Caenorhabditis elegans: one gene and its partners. The protein of the gene in region 2 interacts with the protein of the main gene of each other region in a pairwise test. Each region holds a gene or a part of one and is shown on either strand. Other genes may lie near its edges.

Region 1 (7,193 bases), on a different chromosome or scaffold from region 2:
GGACCTGAAAAATATTATTGAGAATTTTCACAATTTTAGGGCAATTCTCACAGTAGTCAAATATTCGGTAACTTTTGGAAGTTGCTGCTTCACTTGGGTGTTCAAGGCTTCATAGTCTTTTTGGATTTCCGCAAAGTCTCGTTTCTGAAAATTATTTCTTGGTTTAAAGTCATTTCCACAATAAAAATTCGAAGTTGTACCCCAAGACCCTTCTCCTTTGTTCTCGACGCTTCATAATCCATTAATTTATCATTTCTCTTCTTTATAAGTCTCTTTGGAATACTCCTCAACGCCTTCACAATTTCATCACGTATCCGTACATTTGCCTCACTGGCCCATGTTTTGATTGCATGGTTGAATGGTTGCAGTTGAAGATCGATTTCACTGCTTGAGAGATGCTTTTTTCCTGGAGAGAAAATATTTGAATTTGATGTTATTTTGAAATGGAAAAAAAACAACTCACGAGGTTCGACAACTTTTTTATGCATCAATACTCTAGTCTCATGGAACATCTTTTTTCGATAAATAACCATCATATAATTGAATCGAACCAGACGACGTTCTGCGCTGTCCAGCTCACATACAAGGCGGTCAAAATCGGTATCTCGGAGCTGAAAAAATATTACTTTAAAATTGTAAGACAAAATCTGAAGCTCACCAATTTGACAACACCCAGTGATGATCCCATTCGATACGTAAACCGATTCGATTTCTTTTTCAACGAATGGAATGTCATTTTGGAAAGCATTTCTCCGAATGTTTGCTTGTCGTCGGACATGTATTTTTGAGCTGGAAATGTTAGAGTTAACTTTTCAAAATTTTTTTCAAAAAGTGTACGCACTGAGCTCTTTCCTTCTCTTCGACTCGTTCATTTTCTGCCCAAGATTCGACATTTGCTTGATGGCTTCTGTCAATTTTGGATGATCTGTGTGAACAAGTGGGGTGAGCTAAAAAATTTAATGAGTTAGGAATTTCTTAAAGGCCATTTTTTCTAAAACCTTGACAATTTCATTCAGGAAAAGCGGATATTTGGTGGCTCTTTGGATGGGTCTCGAAACGGCAGTTGGTCCGTCAATAACAACGGATCCACTTTCTCGCATACGTTTAACAATATCCTGAAGTGCTGATTCCATAGTTTTCTCATGTTTCTGAAATTCATATACTTTTAATTTTAACAACAGGTAAAAGCTTACCGCCGAGTTGGTAAGAGCATTGATATGCTCGATATTTCTAAAGTAAAAACCATAAGTTTGAGCAAATGGTTTTCGAAGTTGTAGGAAGCATGCACCGATTAGTTGAGCATCTTGTGGTTTGACTGAAAACATTTTAAAAAAATAAAATACTGAAAACTGGAATTTTAGCACTCACTCTGCTCATTGGTGAGAAGTTGGACAAGATTAGCCGAGAGCTGTACAATTTGAGCACATCCATTTTTCAGAATAACCTTTTGCTTTTGATTCAGGAGAGGAGTTCCGTCTACAGCCTGGAAATTATTTTTGATTGAAATGTGATGATTGAATAAATAATAAACAACACACATCGGTGTTAAAGCCATTTTAAGATAGTACTTAATATATTTTCTCAACAGGAGAAAAAATTGCTAAATGGCGAAAATTTCTGAAAAGATCAATTGCTGAAAGTAAATGAAAGTAAACGCCCAGACGTATTAGTGTCATAGACTTTTCGTCAGACTTTAAATGAAAATTTTGAAACAGTATAAAAATTTTTGAAGATAAAATTGTCGATTGCTGAAATGCCGTGCACCCCTGAACTATACCTCTGTATAGGAATTAATATCACTGATGAACTGTAGTTCCGAGCTTATCAACTCCTCAATGATTCTGCATCGTTTATCCTCATCATTTGATGCTCCTTCGGTGGCGGAAATCAGTCCAATTTCGAAGTCACTGCCAGCAGACTGGATCGCAGGGTTACTTGGTTTTGGAGTATCTGTCATTCCAAACATGTCAGCCACGTTGCCAATATCATTGATAGGTGATTGAATAGAACTTTGCTTAGGAGGTGGTGGTCGGGCTGGAGCTGAAGTCTTTGCTAGCTGAACTGGAGCAATCCATTCTTCGCCGAAGGTTGCCCAATTTTGGGCAGGTTTTGATGCAGGCGCTGCCGGTGGAACTGCTTCAAAGGTTGCCCAATCGGTGTTTGTTCTTCCAGCGGGTGGTCTCCAATCGGATGAGGATTCAGCATTTGAGATGAAGGAGGAACGATTGTTGGAGCTACCAAACTGAAAAAAAATAATTGATTTAACTATAAAAACCTATTTTCTTCAAGTCTCACCGTAAAATCGCTGGTCCCTCCAGTTCCACGCCTCATAGCATTTGAAGATTGATTATCGTCATCTTCTTCATCCAGATAAACTTCTAAAAATCCTACAGGTACAATTCCAGTCTTCTCTGTATCTGGATCCTTGCACATAACCCATTCATCATTGACCATTCGTAGTACTCGAACAGTGTCTCCAGCATTCACAGTCAGCTCATCTCCTTGACGACCGGAAAACGCGTGCCGAACATTCGCAAATCCGATTCCATCATTCTCGGTGGTCGTGCTTCGTCGGTTATTTTGAAGCGATGTAGTGTCATCGTCAGGTAGATCAACGATGATTTGAACGAAAGAAGTGGGGAATATTCCGACACGAGCAGATCCTATCGATCCTTCAAGCCATTCTGCATCGATTCGACGACGTAAGCTGATGATTTCGTCGGCAGAGAAAGAGAGCTCGTTTTCAAATTCGCCTCTGGAAAATATATAGATAAATTAGAATATTGAGAAGATTGAAATGAATTTTGAAACTGAATAAAAACACATTATTTATCCTACTTTGACGTGACAATATTTCACAATAAGATACAGTAGTACTGGCCAAAAAAGTATCCATTTTAAATGAGTATAACTCGAGAACTAGGAATGTTATTGAAAAATGCTCAGCCAACAAAAAATTACCTATAACTAGTTCTACTTGTTTTCATAGACCCAAAACAGTCATGACAAAAAATAAAGCGTCAGATATTTTGTGAGTCAAGATTATTACTGCAACTCAAAAACCACATTTTTAATGGAAAGTTTGTAAAAATAAATTAATCTTCATGTAATATTTTATTTCTTGCACGTGCTAACTTTTTTCTTTACAACGGCCATGATAAAATCATATTTTAGTTATGTATTTTAACCAATTTAATCCAAAAATTTGTGAAAAAATCGTTTAAAAAGGCGTAACACTTTTCCCGTTTCAACTGCCATATATATTTTTTCCTGACTTTTTGGTTTTTGATAGAGATGTGTTTAATGCAAATATTTGGCATATTTGAAAAGTGATTTAAATATTGATTTACTGTTACGCACTTTCTATTAAAAATTTGGTTTTCGAGCACAATTTAGTGATGATAGCATTAAAATTGGTAAAAATTAGCGAAATTATCAACGAAAAAAAACTGAAAGTGGGCACCACGTTGGAAGACAAATTTTTTAAATGTGTTTTTGAATTTGAAAAAAAAATTTCAATTCATTAAACGTAAAAACTCACTGAAAATCATAAACAGCTCTAGCGTACGGCGACACTGCATAATTCGAAGTTGCCGCTTTCGGAGCAGTGGCAGGCGTCCGAAATCGGACATCAGCCTCACTGAAATCCGTGGTGAATGACGGCTTCATCGGACTTTCAGCAGAAACATGCAAATTGACCAAATGTGCCTCCGGTAACAATCCACGGCGTCCTATTTGAACAGCGTTGTCATTCACCAGGAATCCGTCCAGATAACCAGGATTTGAACGCGACGGTTTTGCTACTGAAAATGTGATTGATTGATAAAATTGGTTAGTTAACTGATTGGTTGCAAAAATTAGAGAAATAAATTGTTGGAAAAAGTATATACCAAAGATTGAAAATTCTGCAAATGAGAGATCATCGGAGCGGATAGAGGTGTAAGCTTCAATTGAGCAATACACCTGCTCGTCAGGTTGTCTGCAAGAATATAGAAACAGTCTCAGATAAAATGAAATGCATATTGTTATTTCACAAAATTTTGCCATGCTATTTTAAAGGCACACGGGTTCATTCAGATAGGTCTCGGCGCGCGAATAAGTTTGTGGTAGTCTTTTTTTCGTGTTAAAAATTATTTCAGTGCTCAAAACACAGAGAAAATTTGTATTAAAATTTTTTTCTGTTTCTCGGTCAGCTAAAAATCATTTAAGTTAAAAGGAAATCGATAATCTTAAATTATAGAAAAAGAGTGTATTTGTACTTTGAAAACTGATATTTAAAAACAAAGCGGTGAAATTCGCATAATAAACGAAGAAACAATCGCAAAATTTTTTCGCGCCGAGACCCATCTAAATAAATCCGTGCGCCTTTAAGAAGGAATTTCAAAATCTTGTGAAACGACAATCTTTTAGAGAGAAAGCAAAAACCTTTTCGGGTCGACGATGGGCAATGTAAGAACTCTGGGAACCCGACCGGAAACCCCTTCGATGGTTTGAATGTGACACCTAGAAATGTTAAGATTTTATAAATTGGCACTGCCACGTGGCACTGACCAATCCCCCTCCTCACGGACCACCTTAACAATCTGATCTTGGGCTACAGAACACCGCGTTTCGGGATCTTGTGTGGCATTTGAAATTCTTACCCACGAGAGGTGGGCCATACTGCAAAATTTTGGAAAATTTGAGAAAAAAGTGTTCAGACGCAGACGGAGTTAGTCAAGCTTTTTTTTTGAAAATTACATCAAAAATTCAATTAAATTTCCAATTTTCGAATAGAACACTAGTTCCTATTGCAAAATGTTTATAGTTTCTATGGTGTTAGATTGGATTTCGTCAGTGAGACGAGAAACTAAACAATATTTTTATAAAATAAACAATTAGTAAGCGATAGACCAGCCAGAGACCAATTTTGTGAAATTTTCTTTTTTTCAAAAATTCCCAATTTTTAGCTAAAAACCCCAGTTGTAAAAAAAGGATTATTTCAATGAAAAGCCATCACAATTGAAACATGAAAAGTGCGTGTTGGGATATGAAAAATCGATATTCTCATCGAGAAGAAGACGTGCTGCTGCGACGTCGCCCGCCCCACCAGCCGAGAAATCGAAAGATGCAAGTTCGCTCTATCGTTCAACTACTTGTCATGTTTTGAGGAGACGCAACGGGATGAGGAGGGGGCAAGACACAACAAACACGCACACAAAAAAAAGCACTTGTGTGCACACAAAATTGAGGGAATTAAATCGAGGAAGAAAATGCCGAAAAAAACTGCAAAAAAAAACTAATAATGAGGAACCGAAAATGTCATCAATGAATACGAGTTTTTTGAAGAAAAAGGCTTTAAAATTGATGTAAATATTTTTATTTTTTTCGTAAACTGAACCCTAAATTGATAAACGGAAAAACTGATAAAAAGTTATGATGAAAAAAACAAACAGGAAAAAGAATTGTTTTTGTTTACAAAATATAGTTTAAATTTTAAATTCTCTGAGTTCGAAGAGGACTTTTTTTCAAAATCGTTTTGTCGCGCGGTCAGCCTTTGGTTTTGAGCGTTTCTGAGAAAAATTTGAGTAGATCACACGTAGATCATATTATATCTTCTTCTAATTTCACATTTAAATGTGCATTTCTATAGATTTTCCCTAAAATTTTGTGTGATCTACACTTGATCTGCCCTAAATTTTCACAGAAACACTTAAAAACTTGTTTTGTTTTCTCGTGAATAATATTTTTCTAATCAAAATTTTAATATAAAGGAACCAAATAAACATGAGGATTTTCAATTAAACAAATCTTTTGAAACAGTAATTTTTCCCGGTGAACAAAATTGCAGTAACCAAGTTTAAAAATTCCATATTTTTTCACAATTTCCAAGTAAACAAAAACTAAATTTTTAAACAAATAATTTTTATTATAAGCACATAAAATATGAAATCCTGGCTACAATTGGTGGAATATTGTCATAGTTTCCTCCATTTTCGATCCAGCGGTTCGTTACAAGCCTGGAATTTAATTGCTTTTTATTTTAAAAATAAAAATCACTTACTTCAAAATTTTCCCATCACAACTATTCCCAGAATAAGTAGTTTCTTCTGTTGATACTGCTAGGAGGAGTACAGTTTTTGGGATGGGAAAAGTTCCATGGTCCGCAAAGGCATGGAGCACTAAAACTGCATCCCATGCAAGAAGATCAATATTTGTCAGGACTGCTGTTCTAGGTGTCATTTGTGATGCGAGAGCTAAAGTGGTAAGTGAAATAAATTTCAAGAGATTTTCGGAAAAATACATTTACAACTATATAACGTAAGTGTCAAAAATGCCCAAAATTAATGAACTTGGTGAAACAGTTAAAAAAAAACTAACCATTGTTCAATATTGCATGTAGCTCTCCTCTTTCAAGTTGATTTCCAATTTCAATTGGTAAATTATTTGAATTTGTCTCTGATTTAGAATTTTGAATTGCCTTGTTTAATTTTTCAGAAAACTCATTAGCTTTCAAACCAGCAATAACTATGACAAGCGGAGCATGTTCATCTGGATGTAAAAACATTTGTTCACCAATTAATCTCAAAAGATTCCGATTTTCTTTTGAAATATCTGAGAAATCCGAATTGACAAAGGATCTTACTGATTCTATGTAGTTTTGGTAGGGGTTTCGATCCTGTAAATAAGCAAATTTATTTGTCGAAAGGAACAAAGTTATGTGGAAAAATCAAACCTGGTTTGGTTCATTTTGAAGCATTGAAAAAGTTCCTTGAGATATAAAAAAAAGTGCAGAGAGCAAAAGAATCAGCAGTGTCATTATTAAATTATTCGAGATTTCCCACTTTCTTGAAAATGTCTTTGATAATGTTTTGATCATATATTTTCTGTCGAATTGAACGGCATCTGAAGTAGCATGTATATTGTTAATAGTTACATTTCTGGACTTTTAGGGGAAAAAACTCACGGCTTTTTTCGGCAATGCACAAATTGCAAATTACATTTCCACCAGCAAGAACAATTTCCGTGTTTGACCAAATTTTCAAAGTGCAGAATTGGCATTGCGAATAATCTGGAAATCGTTACATTTCTGAATAGAAAACTACGGATTACATTGTAGGTAGATTTTTAGATAGGCCTTACCTACAGCAGGCGTTACGTTTTTTGCTATCTTTTTTGTGTACATATTGCTACCTATTTTAGAATCTAATTTT
Region 2 (10,210 bases):
TTTTTCGGAAGAATTTTTCTCCGGAATTAATGGGATTTCTAGCTTCCCTCATAAATTGAAATGGAAGAGTTTTCCGAACTAGGCCAATTTGGCTGGGGCATATCTGGGGTAGATTTACGGCGCGTTGCGTGTTGCGTCGCGGCTCGATTTTAGTTTTAAAACTAAATGATTGTCAATAGAGCGCGAAAAATTCAATGAGGAAGGCCAGAACCCCGTGGCCGGAATCAGAAAAATTTTAGAAAATATCGATTTTTCTTTGAAATTATCGATTAATTCATCGAAAAATATCGATTTTCTCACCTTCCAGACGGGCGTCTCTTTGGCGAAGACGGGCGGTGCGATTGTTGGTAGGCTCTGCAAAAAAATCGATAAAACTTCAATTTTCAGGTATAATTTACCGTTCTTTCTCTGGATTATTGTATGGAATGTGCACTTCAGATGGGGTATGTGGGGTACTGACACCACGTGATAGGTACCTTGACTTCTCCACCCTGTCGCTTGGCGTTTTTGAGATTCCTCGGGTGTAATGTAGCTCGGGGGTCTCCGAATTGCGGGGTAACCTGGATTTACTACTATAGGACTACTGTATAAAAAAAAACTTACGACTTTTCTGATGGGGTCACCGATTTGTGGGATCTATAAGACGACCGCTCGGATTGCTGATAGGCTCTGAAATTTGGATTACTGTAGGGTTACGGTAGGTTTTGCTACTGTACCTCTCTTTTTCAGGGTTATTGTAAGGAATGTGAATATCCGAGCACGGAGTTCTAGAAAAATTTGGTTTTTTTTTTAAATTTTTGGAAATCTACCCTACCTCTCCGACCTGGAATCCTGATTGCTAGGAGTCTTGGAAATTCCCCTGAAAAATTATCGAGGTTTGCCGAAAGCTCCCCGAGTTAAAAAAAAATTACCTGGTATACGGTAAGTCCTCCTCCCTAGCCTGATGATCCCCCGGAAATCGGTTCTGCTGACTTTTATCCGCGAATCTGGAATTTTCGATAATTTTATCAGCAACTGAGCTCGGCAGTTTCAATCACCTTCCATAATCCAGCTCCTCCGGGCTTTGGCGTTTTGCAATCGGGCTGAAAATTTTTTTTTTAATTTTTAGAAATTTCTCAAAGCCTACCGAGTATGTGTAGTTGTCACCGGGATACGGACCTCTGATGGGCTTCTGCAAAAAAAAACCGAGAAATTGTATGAACTAGTAGCTCGCCTAGGCCTAATCCTAAGCCTGTGCCTAAGCGTGAGCCTAACTCTAACTAGGGAACCCCGTAAATACTTGGTGGATGGCATCAACAAAAAGTATACTAATCGAAAGTTTATGTTAAGCCTGAGCCAGAGCCTAAATCTAAGCTTAAACCGAAGCCTAAGCCTAAGCCTAAGCCAAAACCAAAACCTAAGCCTCATCCTAAGCCCAAGCCCAAGCCTATGCCAAAGCCTAAGACTAAGCCTGAGACTAAGCCTGAGCCTTATCCTAAGCCTAAGCCTAAACCGAGGCCTACGCCTAAGCAGAAACCGAAGCTAAGAACGGATCGACCGTACCTTTCAGATCTATGAGACCTGCTTGGCGATCTCTGACCTTCCCGCTTCACATTGTATTCTCGAACACTCGGAGTCTTGGAGATCCCTCTGAAAAGTCTTTCTATACAAATGTGTGCCCAGATATTTTGTCACCTAGTATATGGAAGTTCAGGGGTCTCGGAATGAACATGATGACGATGGTGGTGACGTGGTTCGCTGCAAAAAAAATTATGATTAAAAATGTGCTACATATCACTTTTTACCTCCTGTCAATCGACCTGCGATGCTCACTGTGAGCTCTGGATATTGCTGATCCTCTGCTCGAAGGAACTCTGACGTTTGTCACGGTTTGATGATGTGGCATTTTTGGAAAAACGACATCCATATCGATTGATGACGTCTCCTCCACTACGTGGATCGGAATTGGACGCTCTGTGCTCACTGTAGAGGTGGTTTTGCCGAGGGATCTGGAACTGAATATATTTTGGAAGTGGTGCTGTAATGGGTACTGTAGGATTACTGTGGCTGTATAGTACTGTAGTGAGACTGTAGGGGTACTGTAAGGGAACTGTAGGGATACTGTAGGGGTACTGTAGGGGTACTGTAGGGGTACTGTATGGGGTACTAATGAAGTAGGGGTACTGTAAGGGGTACTGTAGGATAACTGTGGCTTCAGATTACTGTAGTGATATTGTAGGATTACTGTGGCTTTCGAGTACTGCAGTGATACTCTAGGGGTACTGTCGGGATAATAAAGGGTTATGGTAGGGTCACTGTAGGGGTACTGTAGGAGTACTGTGGGGATGCTTTAGGATCACTGTGGTTTTAGAGTAATATAGTGATACTGTAGGGCCACTGTAGGGGTACTGTAGGATTACTGTCGAAATAATAAAGGGGCATGGTAGGGTTACTGTAAAATAACTGTAAAGGTACTGTAGGATACTGTAGAGGTGCTGAGTGTCTACTATGGTTTTAGAGTACTGTAGTGACACTGTAGGGTCACTGTAGGGGTACCGTAGGATTACTGTCGGAATAATAAAGGGGTATGGTAGGGTTACTGTACAATAACTTTAGGGGTACTGTAGGAGTGATGTATGATTACTGTGGTTTTAGAGTACTGTAGGGGTACTAATGGATTACTGTCGGGATAATAAAGGGGTACATTAGGGTTACTGTATAATTACTTTAGGGGTACGGTAGGGGGACGGTAGGAGTACTGTAGGATTACTGTAGGGATACTGTAAGGGGTACTGTTGAAGTGCTAGAGGATTACTGTGGTTTTAGAGTACTGTAGTGATACTGTAGGATTACTGTCTTGATAATAACGGGGCACAATGTGGTTACTATATAATTACTGTAGGGGTACTGTAGGGATGTTGTATGACTACTGTGGCTCTATTGTACTGTAAGAGTACTGTAGAAAAACGAAAAACTAATGGATTACTGTAATTTCGGCAATGCCAAAATCTTATTCTATCTCAAAAATGTTTAAAATTTTCCGAAACCAAACAAACCGTTTACTATGCTCCGAAATTCTAGATTGCCTGAGCGATTGGCTCCGATGAAGTGGCACTTGCACAATTTCGTGCTCTTTTCTGAGAATAGAGGTTTGAGTTGGGAAGCGGCGGCTGGTTGTGGTGTGCTCCATCGTTTTCGGGTTTTCGCTTGAGGGAATTCTTGAAGTTGAAGTTTTTGGAATATTATCAGTGACTGACGACGGACTTGTGGAAACACTACGCGATAATATAGTGTCGGAGCGGGATGGGCGGAGCTTCGTTACTACACTGAAATTGGAGGTTTTTTTTTGAAGTTTTTAGTCAACAAGGACAGGTGACTCACATATTTTCGTTCTTCTCAATTTCAATTTCGTCCAACTTGTATGTAATTTCTACTGGAGGGTGTGGAGGCTTGAAGTAGACCTGGAAGTTTGTTCTTTTTTGAAAACCATTTTTAAAAAATTAAGAGGCACCACGGTTTCAAGATATGGTGGGATTCCGGATCTACGTTTTCCGGATCTACCACCGTAGATCCGGAAATCGTAGACTCGGAAATCATAGATCCGGAAATCGTAGATCCGGAAATCGTAGATCCGGAAATCATAGATCCGGAAATTGTAGATCCGGAAATCATAGATCCGGAAATCGTAGATCCGGAAATAATAGATCCGAAATCCCACCAGATCTTGAAACCGTGGTGCCTCAAAATTAGGACTCACATTAATCTTCAACTTATCGCAATTCTTCTTCTCCCGAACATCCTCTCTCCCCGGTGTGAACGGGCGCCCCGTAGTTGAATCCACGTAGACATCATGTGTGTACACATAACGTTCACGATCATCAAGATCCTTCGCTGGCTCGGAAGCTTCCGAAGACGACGAGGAATCGATGTGTCTCAAGTGACTGAGCTCGTTGTTATTCCGAATCGTCCTTTGGGAATCCGCCGAGGAGACTTGTCTAGGAATATTCCGATTTTCGTCCTTCTTCTGCATTTGCAAATACTCTTCGTACATTGGAGGCTTCTTTGGCAGGGCTCCGAGTGTCCTTGAAGAATCTGATGGGGACAGTGTGATACCCGAATGGTGCTGGTGACGTGGCGTGTTCTTTTCGGGTGTCGGAGGGATCACCTGGTAGGTTGGCACTGAAATTTAGCAGTTAAAGAGGAAAAAACTGAATAAACATACATTTTTGCTCCTTGAGCTCCGGCTCTTTCCGTAGTGGCTCGTAGTCTGGGGTGACCGATCGGTGTGTGTATTTCTGTAATATAACATATTTCTGTCTTACTTGTAGTTTGTAGTTTGTTGTTTGTAGTTTGTAGTTTGTATAGTTTAATCTACACTACAGTCAGCAACGAAACTTTGAGAGTTGTGATTTTTTACCATAAATTGTTCAGTTTTGCCACTTTTTAAAAGTTTTTGATGGGTTAAACCTAGATTTTCTGAATTCGGCATATATGAATTTCCCGTTTTCAACACAATTAGGCAATATTTTATTTTTGCCCAATTTTTTTCAGCCTGTCCTTTTTGTTCGTTTGACTGTCCTTTTTTGGGCAAAAAATTTTTTAAAAAACGAATTTAAACAAAACTACTGATAACTGAAAAAGGACAATTTTTAGGGTTCTGAGATCAATTTTGAGTCCTCTAACTACAAAATTAACCATGTTAGAGGAGTTTCAAAATTGTGAATTTTTGCCAAAAATTGCCCAATTTTGCCACTTTTCAATAGTTTTGATAAGATAAACCTAGATTTTCTGAATTAAGCATATATCCGCAAGAATTACCCGTTTTCAATAAATTTAGGCAAATATTTATTTTTGCCCAATTTTTTTCAGCCATCTAATGACTGTCCTTTATTTTACTAACAAAAAAAAAGCTTTAAAAAATTTGACCGTGTGGTAGAGTTTTGTAGATTGTAGTTTGTAGTTTGCTGTTTGTAGTTGGTAGTTTGTAGTTTATAGTTTGTAGTTTGTAGTTTGTAGTTGTAGTTTATAGTTTGTAGTTTATAGTTTGTAGTTTGTAGTTTATAAATCTTACCTCTACTTCGTGATAGTCGTACAGTTCAGTCATAACATCTGTGAATTGTGCAGAAGGGACACGAACAATTGGGTAGTTTTCTGGGGTCCATGTGTTTTCGCGGCTGGAAATTTGTTTCAAATTTTGGATTTTAATAGTATTCCAACACTCCAAAAATTTTCAGATTTTTCAAAAATTTGAGTCAAAGTTTTGGTAAAATTCCAAATGTTCTATGAATTCGGAAATTTTTTTGCCCCGATTTTCGTTTCTTTGTTTCTCAACTTTGACAGCTCGTATCTCAGTTCTTTTTGAAGATAATGAGTAATGGTAAACTACAAAAATATAGAAAAATAGTTGATAAACATTTTATCAGTTGTCAATTTTTTATACAAATTAGGAGAATTGAGATATAAGCTGTCAAAGTTCTCACATTTTTGGAAACATTTTTAAAAAACCTACTGCCTAATCAACGGAGGTGTATACTGTGGTGTTGCTCGGGGATTTTCTTTAAGAATATCCAAAATTTCTGGAGGAAGGTCTGAAGCTGGACCAATTGGAGTATGGGTTATTTCCTTGGTGTACAGCTCTGATACAGCATGGTAGGGCTCTCGATCCAGGGGTCTAGATGATGTAGATCGGGATCCTGAAAATTAGGGGCATAAAAAAATATTTGGACTGTATTAGGAATAAATATGGGAATATTTTTCTAAAATTTTGTAAAAAATCGAAGTTTCAGATTTTTAAAAAATATGCATATAATTTTAAATTGCGAAAAAGATCTTACTTTTAGCCTTTTACAATAAAATGTTTAATAGAATTTTCTGTACTTTTGAAAAAATAAATTTCAGTCGTTTCCAATTTTTTTCTGTTTTGAATTTTTTGTCCAATTTGTATATAAAAACTATTTTCAACAATTTCGATTTTTTAAAATTTTTTTCAGCATATTTTACAGTGTTTTTTGACAAATTTTGGAGAAACCTGAAAGTACTTACAATTAGTTTTAAGTCAAATTTTGAAATTTTGAAATTTTTAATTTTTAAAAAAACTCACGGTTATAACTATCATATCCACGGTTCATCTTTTTCAAAAAAACTATAAGCTCCTGAAAAAAAATAAAAAAAAAAAAATAAATAAATAAACGTACAAATTTTTTGCATAAAAAAGACCGCATAAGAAGAAAATTGGGGGGAAAATGTCAAGAAAGTGGGAGGAAATAGTGGAAGACAGGAGGGCATCAAGTTTCGAATTTCATATATATTCACATGCCAAAAAAAAATTGAGAAAAAAGTACATGATATATATTTTTTTAAAAAGGAGAAGACTTCTGAAAATCGGTTTTTTTCTAAATTTTTTAAAAAAATTAATTATTGGAAATTTTTTTCGAAATTTCAAAAAAGATTTTAAATATAGAAAATCTATTTTAAAAACTATTGTGGAAAAATAAATAAATAAATAATTTAGATGTTAAAATATCTTTAGAAAACAGATTCGTAGAGATCTTAGAAATTCCAGAAAAAAAATTTAAAAAACATTTGTTTGCAAATTTTTTAAAAATAAAAACAAACCCAATTTCAATGAATTTTCATACATTTTCTAATAAAACTTATAACATAAAACTACATAAAAAGTAATTTCAAACGAACATGCATACATTCCAAAAGTGCTCAAAGAGAGAGAGAAACATCCAGTGGGCTCGGCGAGCCCGCCGAGAGTAGGATCATCCTCTCCGCCCCGGGTGCCGCTAATTCCGAAAATCTGTTGGTTCTTCTTTATATATGTATATGTGTATACTAGTAGTCACCGTGTGCAGCATATATGTGTGCAAAAATTTCATTTTGAATTGAAAAAAAATCCAAAAAAAATATGTGGGGCTCCTGTGAGCGCTGAGATTTTTAGTAAACATAAATGTTTTTTTTTTCGAATTTTTTTTTGGGAAATTGCATTTTTTTTTTGTTATGGAATATATAGAGCTTTTAGTCAACATAAATAGTTCTGAATTTGAAAAAAATTTCAAAAAAAAGTAGTTTTTCAAGTTTTTTTCCGACGTCCCTCATAAACTGAAATGGAAGAGTTTGCCGAACTAGGCCATTTTAGCTCGGCCATATCTGGGGTAGATTTACGGCGCGTTGCGTGTCGCGTCGCGGCTCGGTTTTAGTTGTAAAACTAAATGAAGTTGTCCGTGTGGAGTACATGACTTTCCCATGCGTTGTCCGGCGGGCGATTGTCAATGGAGCGCGAAAAATGCAATGAGGTAGGCCAGAACCCCGTGTGAATTTTTACAACAAAATAATACAGGAAATCTTTTTAAAAAAAGTGAGTTTAATCCCAAAAAACTACTATTTACACAGAAAAAAAAGATAGTTTCAATGACTGTTTTATTTGTTTTTTCGACAGCCCACCGCCAGAACATGTGTAAACGGACAAAAAAAAATTATTAGAAAATAGAGGGAAAACGAGGGATAAGGCTACTTTGAAGGTTTTTCCTGTAGGCGAAAAAATGGGTCAAACATGTGAGAGTGACAGGTACTTGAGATTTTTCAAATGAAGTGCCGACACTAAGATTTTTTGCCTCGAAGAGTAACAGCTTTGACTGTGAAATTTAGATTCAGAAGCACTGCTTATCCCTGAAAACTGGGTTTTCCATGAATTTATGGGAATGTGTCGGTTTTCACACAGAAATGAGGCTACAGTAACCTAAATTTAAAAAAAAATCAAAAAAAAATAAAATTTTTCAGTGTATTGATTACCAAATTCAGGTCTAAAAGCATTCTGAAAAATGAAATATCCGGCAAAGCGGCGAACCGGCAAATTGCCTGAATTGAAAATGTCCGGCAAAACGACAAATCGGCACATTGCCAGTTTACCGAATTTGCCGAAAATTTTTGGCATATTGTGAGAATTGAAAACTTCCGGCAGACCGGCAAATCGACGGAAATGAGAAGTTCCGGCAAATAGGCAAACCGGCAAATTGCCAAAAATCAAAATTTCCGGCAAATAGGCAAATCGGCAAATTGCCAAAAACCAAATTTTCCGGCAACTAGGCAAACCGGAAATTTGCCAAAAAATCAAAATAACCGGCAAATCAGCTAATCGGCAATTCGCCGAAAATCAAAACTTCCGGCAAATCGGCAATTTGCAAAATATCAAAATTTTCGGCAAATCGGCAATTTGCCAAATATCAAAATTTCCGTCAAATCGGCAATTTGTCAAATATCAAAATTTCCGGCAAATCGGCAATTTGCCAATAATAAAAATTTCCGGCAAAACGGCAAACCGGTAAATTGCCTAAACAGTAACCAAAAAAGAAAAGAGCTATACATAGAAAACATCTTTAACTTCTATTTTTTTTTTGAATAAAATGTCTTCCAAAAAGCATCTTTAAGAAAATTGCAAAAATGTGAGACTACCTTGGCAACCCCGCCTATTGGCAAGAAAAGTGACGTTCCGAAAACGGAAAATCGTAAAATATACTTCAAAGTGAATGTTTTATATGTTTGGACAATGATGCATTCACTTTTTGATTCGATTTCGGCTTTTTGTGTTGTTTTTGGTTACTTTTCATCATGATTAATTGCATGATTCAGTTTTTTTTTTTGAATTCTGATTTTGTGAACGTCTGCTAAAAAAGGCAGGCAAAGAAAAACTTCCGGCAAACCGGCAAATTGTCAAAGTATCGGATTTGCCGGAAAAACTGCAATGGTCGAAAATTTTTGGCAAATTGTGGTTTTGCACTTTTTTTTTGGAAATTTGCAAATCGGCAATTTACCAAAAATCAAAATTTCCGCCAAATTGGCAAGTTGCCTGAAATGAAAATTTCTGGCAAATCGGCGAATTGCCGGAAATGAACATTTCTGCCAAATCGGTAAATTGTCTGAAATGAAAATTTCCAGCAAATTGGCAAGTTGCCTGAAATGAAAATTTCTGGCAAATCGACAAATTGCCGGAAATGAACATTTCTGGCAAATCGGTAAATTGCCTGAAATGAAAATTTCCGGCAAATCGACAAATTGCCGGAAATGAACATTTCTGGCAAATCGGTAAATTGCCTGAAATTGTAATTTCCGGCAAATCAGCAAATTGCCTGAAATTAAAATTTTTGGCAAATTGGCAGACCGGCAATTGCAATTTGCCCATTAAGATGCCGTCCACCCCTTATTAGTTAGATCATAAATTTATACATTCAGAATGCAAAAAAAAAACTAACATATCTGACTACGAATTCACTATTAAAAATATTCATTCAATGTTAGATATCAAGTAATTCTAATATTTCCACAAGTAAACAATAGAAAAAATTACAATTAACAAAATCAAAAAAATGGGATAAAGAAATGAGAAACGGACGAAGATAGAGAGGAAAAGAGATGAGAAAATATAAAAACCGAATAATGCATACAAAAATTCACAAAACTGTTCATATCTCTGAGTTTTGAACACATTGGCCTTTTTTCTCAGGAGCATTGTGACAATTTTGTGAATCTCCACTTCTTCATCTCGACGTCTTATATCCAGATTAACGTGCTCAACATGTAGATTATCCAGGAGGTCACTGGTTGTTCCCAATAGTCTATCAATATCTCTTCCTTTATATAATTCCGTACAACGATCAAATCCAATTCGAGAGCCGAGAATAAAATGGTCTCGACGTGCAATTATATCAAGCTGGCACAAATGCTTGGGACGGTCTGTGAAGCGTCTTGCAGACTGCTGGACGAGGTTCTTCGTTTTTTGAGATGTTACTCGGAGTGCACATCTGGAAATATTTCATTGTGAGTATGCTCTATTAGTCTTTTTTTTTTCGGCAAGTGCACAAAATTGGCTTATTTCAACATGATGATCCAAATTTTTTGATCTAAAATTAATATAGAAATGTATAAAATAGGTTGTTCTATCTGAAAATAACATTTATTTTAGTTGAAAAGTTTGAAAAAGCCATCAAATAGTGCCTGAAAGTTTTCCGAAAAAAAACTTTAAACGGGACTTTTTCTGCAAGCGGCAACTTTCGAGTACTCTTTGATGACTTTTTCAAGCTTTTTAACAATAATAAATCTTATTTTCAGATAGAACAACTTATTTTCTACACTTCTATATTAATTTTAGATCAAAAAGTTTGGATTATCATGTTGAAATAAGCCAGTTTTGTGCGTTTACCGGAAGTGCAAATTTCAAGCTTAAAGTGAG
Region 3 (7,464 bases), on a different chromosome or scaffold from region 2:
GGTCTAAAACTAACAACCTAAGCTAAATAGCCCACTCTTGTTCTTGTATAGAGAACTGACTTAATACTTTACAATTACAAAAAATAAATATAAATATAGTAAACATAAAATATAATTTACTACTCCAGAAAAATATATAATAAATTCAATACAGAAGCATAGTGTATACCCGAAAAAAGTAAAGACACACATATCAATCATAAATTAGTTACAACTTGAGCAGTGTTTTTTCGAGCAAAAAAAAAGTTTACTTAAAAAGTTTAATTTATAGAATTTGCAACCCGTGCTCACCTGAATTCATCAGCATCTCCTGTGGATCGTTTCTCGGCGAAATGTGTGTGGAGGAGGTTCCGCTTGACGTCGACGCGCCGCTGTCCACCTCATCGGCGAATCTGACTCGGTATTTGGCCTTCGTGGCCGTTGCAGGTGCTTGCTGTTGGGGTTGCAGTGGTAGCCGTCGGGGTGTGGTGCTGTAGCTGGCAATCTTGCGCGCCGAGTTTGGCGTGAGGTAGTCGGCCGATGAGTGACTACGGTAGTTCTGATATGCTCCAGGGGGGAGATCTGAAAAATGTGGAAGGTGACTACGAAGATGTAAGGATTTGATAACAAAACAGTACCGCAGTTCAAAAATTTTTTATTGACAATTTCATCCACTAAAAACTATGCAAATATTGCGCATGTATCGTGTTAAAAATCGACATGGGCCGTCCAAATTTTTAGCAACACTTCTGAGTTTTTTTTGTAAATAATTGAACCGTTTATAGAAACTCTTGCCCTCTCACGGGAAGTTAAGGCTGTCCCAATACAGTTTGATCTACAAAAAATGCGGGATTTTTTCCCTAAAAATTTGTATGTGTCAAAATGTGTCAGCACGCTCTTGGGCCATGCCAAATCAGATGAGATGTCTGCGTCTCACCTTCCGCATTTTCTGTAGATCAAAGCGAAATGAGACTTTCTGACTCCACTAGCAATGTAACTTTAATCTTCCTTTTTGCCTCAACATTAGAAATACCAATACCATTATCTCACCTGGTATCCTCCTCTGGGAGTTCACTTGCTGTCCGTTGACAGTACCGTTAAACCCTGTTCCACCAAACCCTGCAGCTGCTCTCGGTGAACCTTGATCACAATCTGCACTTATGCCACTGTCCGTGTCGCTGTCTTGTGGGGTGAGATACCCTGCAAATGAAAAAAAATATGAAAGTGCAATAACCTCTGCTATTTCATTTACTTTACTTTTACTTCTCCACCTCCTCTCTCTTTTCTATTTCTCACGGCCTTAAACCAAAAAAAAAGGGTCTGTTTGGGGGGAAACGCGATATGTCCGCATTATAAATGAGATAAAATGAAAATGAAAAAAATGGAAGTAGGAGCTGGAGCGGTAGTAACCGCCGACAAAAAAATGAAAATGTATAGGCGAAAAGAAACTGCAAAAAGTAGCAGCAGGAGAGGAAGAAGAAGTGGAACGTGACGTTTTTTGGTGGCGGCAGCAACAAGGGGATCAGGAGAGGAAGAACAATGAGTTTAAAGCATGTTTGGACAGAATTATTGATGACATCTACCGAAGAGTAGAGAGCAGGGGAGAAGAAAGAGGACGGCAAAACGAGAGTGCAACACCCCATCCCTCACTAAAAAAAAGTTTTGGCACATTTTTCTTTCGTTTTTTTTTTTTCGTCCACTCCCTCGTGCCTGTTAAGGGTTGAAGTGGTTCGGTTCGACCACACGGAGAAGTGAGGCATGCTCTCGAGGAGCACTGGGAATGCCTATATCTTTGAAAGTCTGAAGTCTGAAGAAAAACTGAAGCTCTTTGAAGCCGATCTGAAAATCTTTTGCATCATTTTCAAATGGTGTCAGGCTGTCCTAATACAGTTTGATCTACAAAATCGGCGGGAATTTTTTTTTCAGAAAAATGTGACGTCAGCACACATGGTTAGCCATACGAAATCAGGGGAAAAGTTCTCCCGCATTTTTTGAAGATCAAACCAACATGGGACACTTTGACCCCACGTGGTTTTTTTTATCAAACAAATCAGTGAAAAAATTGTTTTGCATTTCTAAAATGGTTGACTGTAAGTATATTTTTAAAGCAATTTTAAAGACATCGGAAGTAGAAAAAAAGTGCTGAACATTTCAGATTTACTTTTTTCAGCTCAATATGCTTCAGTTGAGCTTCATACTTTTTCAGTATACTGTTCAAAAATTATATTTCAAATCAAAAAGGTTCCAATCAAAATTCCAAGATCAAGCTCAAGTAAACACTGGTAGCGCTACGATTCTTTGCCCTCTTCAGCAACCAATGATTATTTTCAGAATGGGCTCTCCGTTTACACACTCAAAAAAAACGCGCAAATATTCTGCATCATGGGCGCTGTCTGAATGCTCTTCCTCAAAATGCAATAAGCAGGAATGGGTTGCGGGCAAAACGCAGAACGCACTTTTGTTGGGGTTTGTTGGACCAAGATCAGCACATGGTGCCGAGCTAGAAGTGTAAAAGTTCTGAATGTGTAGTACTGGGCTCTTCGGGAGCAAAAATGAAAAAGGCACACACACATACACAGACATAGTCTCGCTTGAAAAGGTCCACGAACACAGAGACTTGGCATTTGAGATGGGTTACAAAAAAAAACGCTGACCGCGCGCCGCGTCACTTGCTCACTTTCCGTTTTTCTTATTTTGAAAAGCTTGTCGTTTTGGTGTGTATGGCATGTTACACTGAAACTGAGAAAACTTGACGCTTTGTGGTGAGCGACAAAAAAGGGAGAATTACTTTGCAATTGAAAGCCAGAGATCAAATATCTGTTAGATTCGCTTCAAAATTTTGGAATACAAACGCACAATTTAGCAGTTAAATTCAATTGCTCCAAAAAAAATTTTTTCTACACTAACGTTTTCAACACTAACTAAGAATTACTCAAGACTTACCTAACGTTTTACCTAATTTGAAAACATTTATTTCACAGAGACGATTGAAAAGTTTTAAATAGCGGAAATGCGCTCCTAAAATTTTAATAGAGTTTGTTTTGTTTCAATGACTTTCAGATCTAAATTTTCCGAAATTAGTTCTTGCAGACTATTAATGGCCACTGGAGTTTTGGGGAATAGGCAAAAACGGGTATTATTTAAACATGGAGTAGACACTCATTATGATCTAAAAAGACCAAATATCTTAATAATACAATTCAAAAAATTTCAGGCTTTTCATAATTTCCGGTTAAACTTTGGCAAATTTTCAGAATTTTGAAAAATAAGAGCTTTTGAAGAAATCCAAAGCAATTTCACATGTTCCGGGCCCTACAATGTTTTAATCCAAATAATTACTGTATAAAAAATGTAGAAACATTTTTTTGGTCGACTTCCAAAATTATGATTGGCAAAAACTGAGTAATTGTCACTTTTTGACAATAAATAAGTTTCATTATGATATGTGGTCATTTTGGGACCAAAGGAGTGGTTTTTAACAACTTTCCCACTGGCGCTACTCCACTTTTAAAGAAAAATAGCGAAAAAATTTTGCAATTTTTTAAAACATTCCGTTAAAAAATACCAAACATTTTACCGAAAAAAATATAATGTTCATAATTTTTTAATATGTTACTTTGAAAATTCTGCAAAGACCGATTTCGGAGCATATTCACAATTCTAAACAAAAATAAAAAAAAAAAAACTCCAGAAGTAGTTACGTGTTTAAAATATCTTTCATATTATGAATATCTGTATCCATAAACTGTGGCTGAACTGAACTCATAGAAACATGTAAAAAACATAATTGTGCAAAAATGGCTACACCACTGCATTCGAAAAAGTACGTTTTTGAAAAATTCATAATTTGCCTCTTTTAGCTCGGAAATAATTCATGATGAACGAATACTAAATGACTAGAGCAAAAAACAGGAAAAAAATTGTTCAAACGGTTAAAAGAAATTATGTATTACATAGTAAATGTTCCAAAAAAAACGTGAATAAATATTTGTAACCTGTTTTTTAAGCAACAAGCGCCAAAAACATTTTCCAGTCGATGCACCATGTTCGAAATCTAGTATTCCACATTTATTTTAGGCATATGGTAGGTAATAACTTTGCTCTTACAAAAAATATTAGAAACAAATCACAGAAAAAAAACATTTTTTGCGAAAAAGACACGTATTCAAAAAAAGGTACGTCTATTGAAAATTCATAATTTTTCCCTTTTCTATTTGTAGATGACGAGCGAATACTGAATGACTGGTGCAAAAAAGAAGAAATTAATTTTGAATTTGGAAAAAAAAGTGAGAAATAATTATGACGTACCTCCTTGTTGATAAAACTGGCCACGCCCCAAATTTCGAGGTTTTGGTGGGGGCATTGGAGCCTGCCGATTTCCAGAAGACATTGTGATTTGTGTCTCTGAAAATTGTAAGTTTATAAGAGAACAATTTGAAAAAAAAGATAACATATCAGAGGTAAAGAAACAAATGATAACATCAAAGACCTGATGGGATATAATCGGCCTAGTTAAGGTATGTTCTCAATTTTTGGGGGCTGCGGAAAAGTAGGGGAAAAAAAGAAGGCGAAAAAAAAGCGAGATGGACGTAAAGATGTGAAAAGTGACACTGTTAATTGGATATATATGTAAAGTGGACACAATCGTGACTGGCACTGGTGCACGTACTGACGTCTTGGAAGTTTTAGGTGTGTTTTGATCAAGAGTAATTAAATATATAAGGGGGCAAATAGCTCAGTCGGTAGTGGTGGCCGCTAGCAATCTGGAGGTCACGAGTTCAAGTCCGGCCTCACTTCCTAGGTTCACCCAGCCCCTATTGGGAAGTGGAGCAATCCAAGACTGGATTATCGGCCACAGTCCCCGGCTCGGACGTGGCTTAAATTACAACCCAGTGGGATCACCACCAGGCAGTGTACCTGAGTCCCAGATCCGCAGTGCATAGCACTTGGAGAACGGATCGTCCTTTGACCCTTTAATCTTTAAATAGTGAAAAATAGCTACCCTCGTATTGTTAGAAATATCGGATTTTACTATGATGAGTAAGGAAACTGATTGAAAGAGCATCGGAAAAAAAGATTAAGAGCACGCTTTCAAAAATACAGCTTTCTTCCAAAATAACCAAACAATGCACCTAAAACTTTCTATTAAAAAAAAACAAAAAACAACTTGTGTCCCCATTGACAATTCAATGTTTGAACACCAACTTCGGCATTCGAACTTGAAGCAAAAAAAAAACAGTTTTTCTTCACTACTATCTCTAGAATGCACACCATTCGTGGGCACACCGACCTAATAGAACTGTCCCCAGGGACGGATTGATCACGAAAAGGAAAAGGTCATACAACACACAATGCAGTCGTTCAGAACAATGTGATAACAAGAAAAAAAATAGAAGAGTGGGTGTACAGAAGAAAAGCAAGGAATGTTCTGGAAAAGTGAAAAAAAACGAACTTGAATACAGTGTAAACATTACATAGAACTAGGATTTTTTGGCGAAAACATAGAAATGGCGAGATTGTTCAGAAGAGACCCCAAAAGCTTTTGATGATAACTATTAGGACCTCCATGGAAGCGGCCGACACTTTTCGGGTTCCGCGCAGCACTAAGCAGGAGGCGCGGCTCGCGGCACGAGGCAGACGTCGCCTGCATGAAAGCCCTAATATTTATGTTTAATAAAACCACTGGTATTGCAAACTTTTTCGTGATTGTCATTGGGTTTTAATTTTAAATTGAGGGTAATGACTATAAAGAGGACTATGAAAAATTTAACTTCAAAATTCTAAACTTCAAAAACTACCGCAATACCAAAAATGTGACTCACTTATGATCAGTATCTGAACCGCCAAACCCATTTGCATTATTGCTTGGTAATCTAACACCCGAATGGCGGTAGACACACACACACGTCAAAAGTTAGGGTTCCATCCCGTCCCCCTCTCGTTAAACACATGTTTAATCTCGCCAGATGGTTGTGATGCCTTAGTGAATGATGTACTTACTCTTAAGCGACGAACTTCTCTTTTTGTGCGAGCCGAAGCAGCAGGATGTACGTGATGTATCAGGAAACACATAAATCTATCGCGAAAAAATGGGGAGAAAAAGAAAGAAGAAGAATACTGAAAATAGCGAACAAAACTAAAGATTGATAATTTATGCAACGGGTAATAGATAATGGGTAAAAAAATACTTTTCAATTTGTCGGAAAACTTGTAATAAATGCGTTCCGATTAACAGAACTAATAGTAAGATGTTAAATTATTTCGCCACAAAAAAAATCTGATAGGACCATCTATGCACGTCATACCATTTTATTTTTCAAATAGTATTTCAAAAGCCGAGAAAAAAATAGGGGCTCACTATAGTTATCGTATCATAAAGCTTGATTTCTTCGAAAAAGACCGGAAACCTGCTAGTCCCCTCTGATTGTTAGTGACGCGTTTCATGATGCACTCCCTCTTCTCCGAGACTTTTCTCTTTTCAAATGTTTGTACTGATTTGAATTGAATTGCCATTCCATATCAGGAATAGCTGAGAGGGAGTTTGGGTGTGGTGGGCTCGGTAAGTTTTGAACTGGCTGGATTGTTTTATTGAACTAGGAACTATTAGCCATTTGAAAACAGTCAACGATTTTTCTATAAAAAAGTATAACATTTGTTCAAGTATATCTTTTTAGTTTGCTGTACTCATTGAATTTAGTAAAAAACAGAAGAAAAGCATCAGAACATTTTCAGAGAAACTGAAATAAAGTTTATATATAAGTAGGGTATATGGATTCTAAATTGGCATGTGATCAGCAAGATCTAAAAAATTTAAATTGAAAATTCCAAATCCTCCAAAAAATTTCTACAGTTTAAAATTACCTTAAAACACCAAACTATGAACTATTCTAAAATTAACTCCGTCATTTCTTTCTGTAAAGGAAAGTTAAAAGTGGAGTAGCGCCAGTGGGGAAAGTATTAAAAACTACTCATATGGTGCCCGGAAGATTGAATGTCATAATAAAACGTTTCAAAAATTTTTTTGAAAATTTTTCATTTACTGTCAAAAAGTGGCAATTACTCAGTGTTTGCCACTGATAATTTTGGAAATCGACCAAAAAAAATTAGTTTTTTCTGCATTTTTGATACTGTAATTTTGTTTTAATTATTTGTATTAAAACATTGTAGGGGTCGGATCATGCGACAATGCTTTGGATTTCCTCAAAAGTTCATATTTTTCCAAATTTTGGCAAATGAAATCATATCAACCAGTTTTCTCATCTCAAAATTAAAAAGTAAACTTTACATGCTGGGCATCCCCAGACGCTGAAAAATGTACCACCTATTTCGTTTGCTATTCAATATTTCTTAGGTTTTACGTTTTCAAGTAGGAATAGATGCATATTTAATGGGCCCAGGAAATTAATATATTCAGTGATCTTTGGCAGAGCCGGTTCTAAGTTTGCACTGAAAGAACATGTCTACCGAGATGACAATAGTTGAGAA
Region 4 (6,310 bases), 4.7 Mb from region 2:
TATTTTTTACATCTAATCAAACTAACCCTTGAGCATTCTTGACAACGTCAATCTTTCTACAAGTGCTCCATGAGCCCACCCATAAGTTATTTCCACTCATAATACCAGCTGGAACCTTTCCCATTGCATCAAAAACATTAAAAATCCAGTGACGTTCACTTTTCTTTTGTTGGAAAAGTGGTGTACATTTGCAATCTGAGCAGTTTTTATGCTCTTCAACATGAGTTGCATATTCTACTCCAGTCCATGCCAAGTGCATCATGTCTCCAACGCAAGCTAAATGTTTTTTGTTAAAGATATAGTCATTATAAACTAACCCATTGATATATCAAATGATTTTAATTTTTCAACCATTTCAACAGCATACTTCATTAATTCAAGATTTCCCTCTTCAGCTCCATCTCTATAAGCTTCTGCGTAATTGAAAAAATGACGGAAAAAGTCGAGATCAAGAATTAGCTGAGCATCGGAATCTGACATATATCTTGAAAAAACGGATCCCATTGCTTTAGTGTCTGTCTCATCATAATCCAATTCTTTACTTGAGAACAATGAACCATCATATTTGTAACTCGATTTTGAATTGGATATGACGGTTACTGTAAATATAAACATTTTAATCGTTAACATGAATTTAATTAATTATGCCACTCTGTTTTTTTTTTGAATATAATTAATGGAATATCTGACTAGTTAAACATAAAATTAAGATAAAATAAAATGGTTCAAAATCCAAAATACACAACAAAAGAAACATGAAACATCCGAGAAAGTTTCTAATCTACTGTAATCGTAATGAACAGTTCAAATTTCCTTGATCTTTTTGTAATTTTTCTTTATTAAAAATGTAATTATTTATCCTTACATATTACTAGAACAGCAAAGATCAACAGCCTCCGCATGTTACCCATTTTGATCTGTAAGTTTTAAAGTAAGCAGCAGGAAGGCAATGAAAAGTTGCAAGAAAGTGAAACGAATTGAACAGATTAGGCGAATAAGTGTCAATCATTAAGTGTCGGCGGTTTTTTTTGCTCGAAGGCAATCAAGGCACAAAGGTTTATAATGATAAGGAATATTTTTTGGCAGTCTAAGTCTCTCTCCCTAGTATAATATAATATTGTATCAGAAACAAAAAGAAATACCTATCAAAAGGACATTCGTTTTACAGAATCAGTGGGGTTTTCAGATAACATATGTAGGGTTACCACTAATCATTAGTATAATTAGAAACTCAAGAGTTTTGTCAAAATATAGTCACAGCAGGTCAATAAGACAATATATCTGAATAAAACACGGCATTGTGGATTTTCCAAAATATTTAGTCAGAGATTTGGCAAAATGCCAGACTGTCAGAAAAATTGAAATTTTGAGCCTACAGTGTTCAAATAAGAATAGTTAAGATATAGATTGAACATAAAACTCGTGTAACTTTTTTTTAGTGAACTTCCAAAATTATAAGAAGTACATGAAAACTGAATTATTGCTACTTTGTAACACTTTGTAACAGTATATAAAACGTCCTCAATTTTTAACTACGACATTTTGTGATTTTTTAACTTCTCTAGATCATAAAATTTTTGAAAGCTAAACATTGATGCGTTGCAAAATATATATAAATGAGTTCTGGTGTGGAAATATGTATATGACGAACAATTGGAAAAGTTGAGTACTGTAATTATATAATTGGAAACGGGCAAAGTTGGTTTCTTCCTCTAGAGCTCATAAACTCATCCTAAAAATTATATAAATAACAGGTTATTTGAAACAATGTTGTTTTGTAGAATTTTTACTGACGAATGAAATTTCAAATGCAAGAAAAACGAACGATTGTTATGAATGGAAAATGGAAGAATGAATCATAATTCGAGAAATTCCTAATAAAAATTATTCCATTTGTTCATAAATTCTAGGAATGTAGTAGCAATTTCATTTAAATAAGGAGATAAATGTGCAAAATTTGAACTGAAGATACTCTCGGAACTCCAAAAATAATAAACTGAAAATTCTACAACACAAAAACACTGAATTGGAGAAAATCAAAATGATACTGGAATAATATTTCTGGAAAAAGTGCGAAGAAGCAATGTGATGATTGTAGGTGATGTTTTCGGGTGACTAATTAGTTTTGGTGTGTCCTCCGGTTGAATACAGTCATTGTCCATGTTCTTTCTCTCCCCTTCTTTCTCTATTTCTCTACACTTTTTTTTTTAGTTTAACTCGTTCCGTTCGTTGATAGAATCAATGAGAGGAAGGTGCGAGACGAATTCTCCCGGAAACCTCACTTACACTCTACGTCTCTATTAGGCGTTGAACTTGCCTATAGTTCATAGGATTTGCCGCTCCAGCGAACATCAATGATGTCTTAAATAGTGGAAAAAGGCGTACAGATTGTGTGAGAACATTAAAATGCAACAAAAAACCGCTGAAGAACGTGACTTGACGTATCGAAGTGGTAATTGGAAAAGAAAGGTGTGATTGTGATGAGATTGATAAGAGAGAGGAGGAGATGATGGTTGTGGAATATGATTGAAGTTGAATTGACATCAAATAGAAATTGGTTTATGGAATGAGAATAAAACGAAATAATTTAAAATGTAAAAGTTTAGAACAGCTGAAATGAAGATCTTTTCGTGAAAAACAAAAGTTTCTGAAAATAAAGATTAAGGTATTCCAATCCGATCGAGTAATTATGATGGAGGTGGTGGAGGTGGGATCATTCCATGACCAGATGGTGGTGCTGGAGGACGACTTGGTGGTGGAGGTGGATACATTCCTGGTCCAGCAGAAGGATATCGCGGCGGTGGTGGTGGCGGCATGCCTCCCGGATATCTGAAAAGAAAAATTGTGTAAGTTCGAACGGTGAACATGAACGATATTTTCAACTTAGAACAAAAATATATACCTCATCCCTGGTGGAGGTGGCGGCGGCATTCCACCCATTCCTGGAGGACCAAATCGTGATGGTGGTGGTGGTGGAGGCATACCAGGCATACCTGGTGGTCCTGGAGTTCTTCCTGGTGGAGGCGGTGGTGGTGGCGGCCACATTCCAGATGATGGTGGTGGTGGTGGACGAGGAGTCATTCCTGGCGTTGGCGGCATTGGAGGTGGCATTGGTGTCACACTTGGTGGAGGTGGTGGTACTGGTGGATATTGTCCTTGATATCCAGATTGAGCCATTCCCATCAATGGTGGTGGTTGATAGCCTGGGCGTCCTGTTGCATGAGCAGCAATAGCAGCATGAACTCCTGGCATGGCCAAAGGTGTGTTAGCTGGAACACCAAGTGGAACGTCAGAAAATACTTGATGTGGCCGGTCTTTTGGAAACAGTGGATTTTGTGCAGCCAGCATACGCTCCGCTGCTGTTCCGTGTCTTTCTCCTTTTGAATCTCTCTTGAAAGCGTATGAGACGGTGATAGCTCGATTGCAAAGAAATTGGCCGTTCATAGCTTCTAATGCTGTATCTGAAGCTTCGAATGAAGCGAAGTTGATGAACGCGAATCCTTTAGACGTTCCCGAATCAACATCTCTCATGATTTTTGGAACTTGAAGAATAACTCCAAAAGCACTGAACGTATCGTATAGCAATTTCTCATCGACTTCTGGATCCAGATTTCCAACAAAAATATTTGCACCAACATCCATATTCTTTTCATGAGCCGATGCTTTGTTCACCTGAATATTATTTTTTTAAATAATAAACTAAACATATTTGATAGCTTACTTTAATTGGCTTTCCGTATAATTTGATCATGTTTAAAATTTTGATTGCATAATCTGCATCTTCTTCTCCCATGAACTCCACAAATCCGAAACCTTGATGATTGGCAGTTACTCGATCTTTCGGCATATTGACACTGACAACAGGTCCTGCTTGTACCATAAGTTCCCATAGGATGGACTCTGACACCTTCTCGTCTAATCCACCAACGTAAATTGTTGCATCTTGGTTTCTTTCCACTATCGGCCCTGCTGACATCTGAAATATTGATTTTTAAAAAATGAACAGCACATGAAAAAAAATAAGTCCAACAAAGGAAAATAAACCTCTGATCTCAAAAAAAAATATTTTGGCATATATATATATAAAACATGTTTATTTTAAAGTGATAAGAGATCAGTTCAGAAATCTTCATCTTCCTTTGGGGATTTCTCCCTCTGATCATCGAAATTACGAGTTCCCTTCAGTTCATCGGATTGCACAAGAGTCTGGAAAAAGTTAGAGAACTCCAACGAGTCTCCTCGTTCGTCCCAATCTTTTCGGTTGATCCATGGAACTTTAGAAGCAGTGAGAAGCTCTTGACCACAATGCCAGGAATGAGTTTGTGGGTTTATTACGTCATTTGAAACATTCAATCCATATTCTGCTGGCAGCATTGATCGAACTTCTCGTTCCAGGCGTTCACGAAATCCTGGGAAGCACGACGATCCGCCAATCACGATGATATTTTCTGCCAGAGCAGGCCGTAATGCTTCTGGACATTGACAAATACTCTCGATAACAGCTTCTGCGACACCACATTGATCAATATCAATATCCGAGGGACTGCAACAGATAAAATAGTTTATACTTTTTGCCGAAATTACTAACTTGAATAAGATTTCCGGAATGGCGAATCTCTCAACTCCCAAATGAATTGAAGGAATTTGTGGATCGTGTGGCTCTTTAACGTCTTTCACTACACCTCGGAATGTCGAGTGGAAATCCGGCATAATATATCGTTTCATTGTTGTATTTTCTTGAAATCGATTCCTGAATAAAAACAATATAATTAGTATTCTTCATTTTTATACCTACCTAGCCTCTTTCATGCTCTCATCAAAATTTTGTGAGACGAAGCAAAGATCCTCTTTACATTCGTTGATAACGTATGTTTCTTCGCTAACATTCAATTGTCGGTAAGATACCCAGTCCTTCAATTTATTTGTTAACGCTTTTCCACCAACATCGATCCTTAAAAATAAAGCTAATTGTAGTTTGAAAACACTTTCCAACCTTATAACACTATCCTGAATAAGCATTCCATTCACAAATGAAGCTACCGTAGTCCATGAAAACCCGGAATCCACAACAACTGCACACTTTTCGTTGTTGATTTTATTTGAATGTTTTGCCACCAAAGTCGAAGCAGACGTTTTGTGTACCTCTGTGAAGCCGAAATAATCAAACAATATTTCACTAGAGACATCAGGAAGAGCTGGGATTAGATAGTTATTATCTGTGAGTGCAATTCGAGAAGTAGACGCCTCCACATCCATAGATCCGAACGTTTTCTCCCAGATTTGCTGTTGTGTATCCCAATTCACCACATATCCTCTTTCAATTGGTCGCACATAGAATAGCGAAAACTTGTCCGAACATTCTTCTTGCTCGTGTGCAACAAAAACCCGCTTCTTTTCATGTTTCGCTTTCACAATACTGTTTGGAACTAATCTGAAAATATTTAAATTATATTGATATTTTTCTTATTAGAAACAAACCTAGGGGACTCTGAGTCTATCGTACCTATCTTCATATTATGGCCACCATTGTCAAAAATAATTGTTGTTAAACTCATCTACAAAATTATTTCACAGAATGAGTAGTGTGATTTTTCCAGATAAAAAATTAAGAGTAGGGTGGTAACCTATAAGATAACAAATAATTTCGAATTATCACAATATTCATGAAAGTATCAGGCACACAAGAAACAACCCGGTTATTGGAATTGAATTGAAAATCTATGCGTTTTTACGAATGTTACATATGCTTCTTAAAAATTAGGATTCCCACGTAAGGCGACCGGTCCTTCCCGTTGAAGAAGTTGCTGAAGACGAGCGACTTCTTCGTCTTTACGATCCATTTCTCCTACAGGAGTCCAGCTTCTGTCATATTCCAACCGATATGATCCAAGATATTCTTCTTTCTTCTCTTGGTATCCCCACTCGTTAGGAGCCAACATAGAGAAATATTTGTTCATGCTTCCTTGCTTCTGGTACAAATGGTAAATTCGGCCAGGTTGCTTCTCCATGTTACAGGGAACGTTATGCAAATGCTCATCGCGTTGAGCATCTTCGAGAACTGCACGAGCTGCCATATGTAATTGTTCCATTTGATCGGCAATTTGCTTCAGACGATCGCAAGCTCTTCCTTTCACCAATTGGCGGGCACTGTTTAACTGATTTGCCAGCGCGACCAAATCATCGGCATCAATTTTGTCAGTTTGACGAGCACTGGTTACAAGGCGCTGATCTTCACTTCGGGACTGCACGAGAGGAACGTTTACTGAAAAATTTAATTACTATTGATATCAAAATTTGTTCGTACTTCTTT

The links.
Region 1: the proteins of cnp-2 (region 2) and dnbp-1 interact in a two-hybrid assay, tested with the Caenorhabditis elegans proteins (one large-scale study listed by BioGRID).
Region 3: the proteins of cnp-2 (region 2) and C09G1.4 interact in a two-hybrid assay, tested with the Caenorhabditis elegans proteins (one large-scale study listed by BioGRID).
Region 4: the proteins of cnp-2 (region 2) and sap-49 interact in a two-hybrid assay, tested with the Caenorhabditis elegans proteins (one large-scale study listed by BioGRID).

Annotation. Positions count from the first base shown.
Region 1 is NC_003282.8:13,975,179-13,982,371, forward strand, and holds the start of dnbp-1 (SH3 domain-containing GRB2-like protein), read right to left. Parts: upstream 4,670-7,193; 5' UTR 4,662-4,669; coding exon 4,552-4,661; intron 4,504-4,551; coding exon 4,426-4,503; intron 4,352-4,425; exon of another isoform or gene 4,331-4,351; intron 4,246-4,330; exon of another isoform or gene 4,225-4,245; intron 3,980-4,224; coding exon 3,891-3,979; intron 3,804-3,890; coding exon 3,542-3,803; intron 3,418-3,541; exon of another isoform or gene 3,397-3,417; intron 3,311-3,396; exon of another isoform or gene 3,290-3,310; intron 2,756-3,289; coding exon 2,296-2,755; intron 2,243-2,295; coding exon 1,778-2,242; intron 1,670-1,777; exon of another isoform or gene 1,649-1,669; intron 1,484-1,648; coding exon 1,369-1,483; intron 1,316-1,368; coding exon 1,194-1,315; intron 1,149-1,193; coding exon 999-1,148; intron 948-998; coding exon 842-947; intron 790-841; coding exon 659-789; intron 612-658; coding exon 464-611; intron 407-463; coding exon 201-406; intron 145-200; coding exon 52-144; intron 5-51; and 1 more. Other genes in the region: gei-18 (GEX Interacting protein), read right to left, coding at 5,909-5,999, 6,044-6,236, 6,361-6,658, 6,716-6,885, 6,947-7,051.
Region 2 is NC_003280.10:12,756,718-12,766,927, reverse strand, and holds the start of cnp-2 (Calcineurin-interacting protein 2), read right to left. Parts: upstream 6,132-10,210; 5' UTR 6,108-6,131; coding exon 6,080-6,107; intron 5,673-6,079; coding exon 5,489-5,672; intron 5,154-5,488; coding exon 5,051-5,153; intron 4,275-5,050; coding exon 4,202-4,274; intron 4,159-4,201; coding exon 3,737-4,158; intron 3,441-3,736; coding exon 3,361-3,440; intron 3,306-3,360; coding exon 3,036-3,305; intron 1,989-3,035; coding exon 1,785-1,988; intron 1,738-1,784; coding exon 1,675-1,737; intron 1,630-1,674; coding exon 1,543-1,629; intron 1,172-1,542; coding exon 1,127-1,171; intron 1,083-1,126; coding exon 1,038-1,082; intron 987-1,037; coding exon 912-986; intron 860-911; coding exon 815-859; intron 768-814; coding exon 717-767; intron 670-716; coding exon 604-669; intron 561-603; coding exon 399-560; intron 355-398; coding exon 301-354; intron 1-300. Other genes in the region: Y46G5A.8 (F-box domain-containing protein), read right to left, coding at 9,293-9,782.
Region 3 is NC_003284.9:15,992,553-16,000,016, forward strand, and holds the start of C09G1.4 (uncharacterized protein), read right to left. Parts: upstream 4,386-7,464; 5' UTR 4,370-4,385; coding exon 4,288-4,369; intron 1,887-4,287; exon of another isoform or gene 1,663-1,886; intron 1,180-1,662; coding exon 1,030-1,179; intron 562-1,029; coding exon 292-561; intron 1-291.
Region 4 is NC_003280.10:8,031,792-8,038,101, forward strand, and holds sap-49 (Splicing factor 3B subunit 4), read right to left. Parts: upstream 3,977-6,310; coding exon 3,722-3,976; intron 3,673-3,721; coding exon 2,903-3,672; intron 2,830-2,902; coding exon 2,688-2,829; 3' UTR 2,459-2,687; downstream 1-2,458. Other genes in the region: nrf-6 (Nose resistant to fluoxetine protein 6), read right to left, coding at 27-276, 318-599, 866-911; arp-6 (Actin-like protein C08B11.6), read right to left, coding at 4,120-4,543, 4,589-4,750, 4,796-4,951, 4,994-5,431, 5,479-5,555; C08B11.9 (uncharacterized protein), read right to left, coding at 5,751-6,262, 6,305-6,310. UniProt on the Caenorhabditis elegans protein: Subunit of the splicing factor SF3B required for 'A' complex assembly formed by the stable binding of U2 snRNP to the branchpoint sequence (BPS) in pre-mRNA.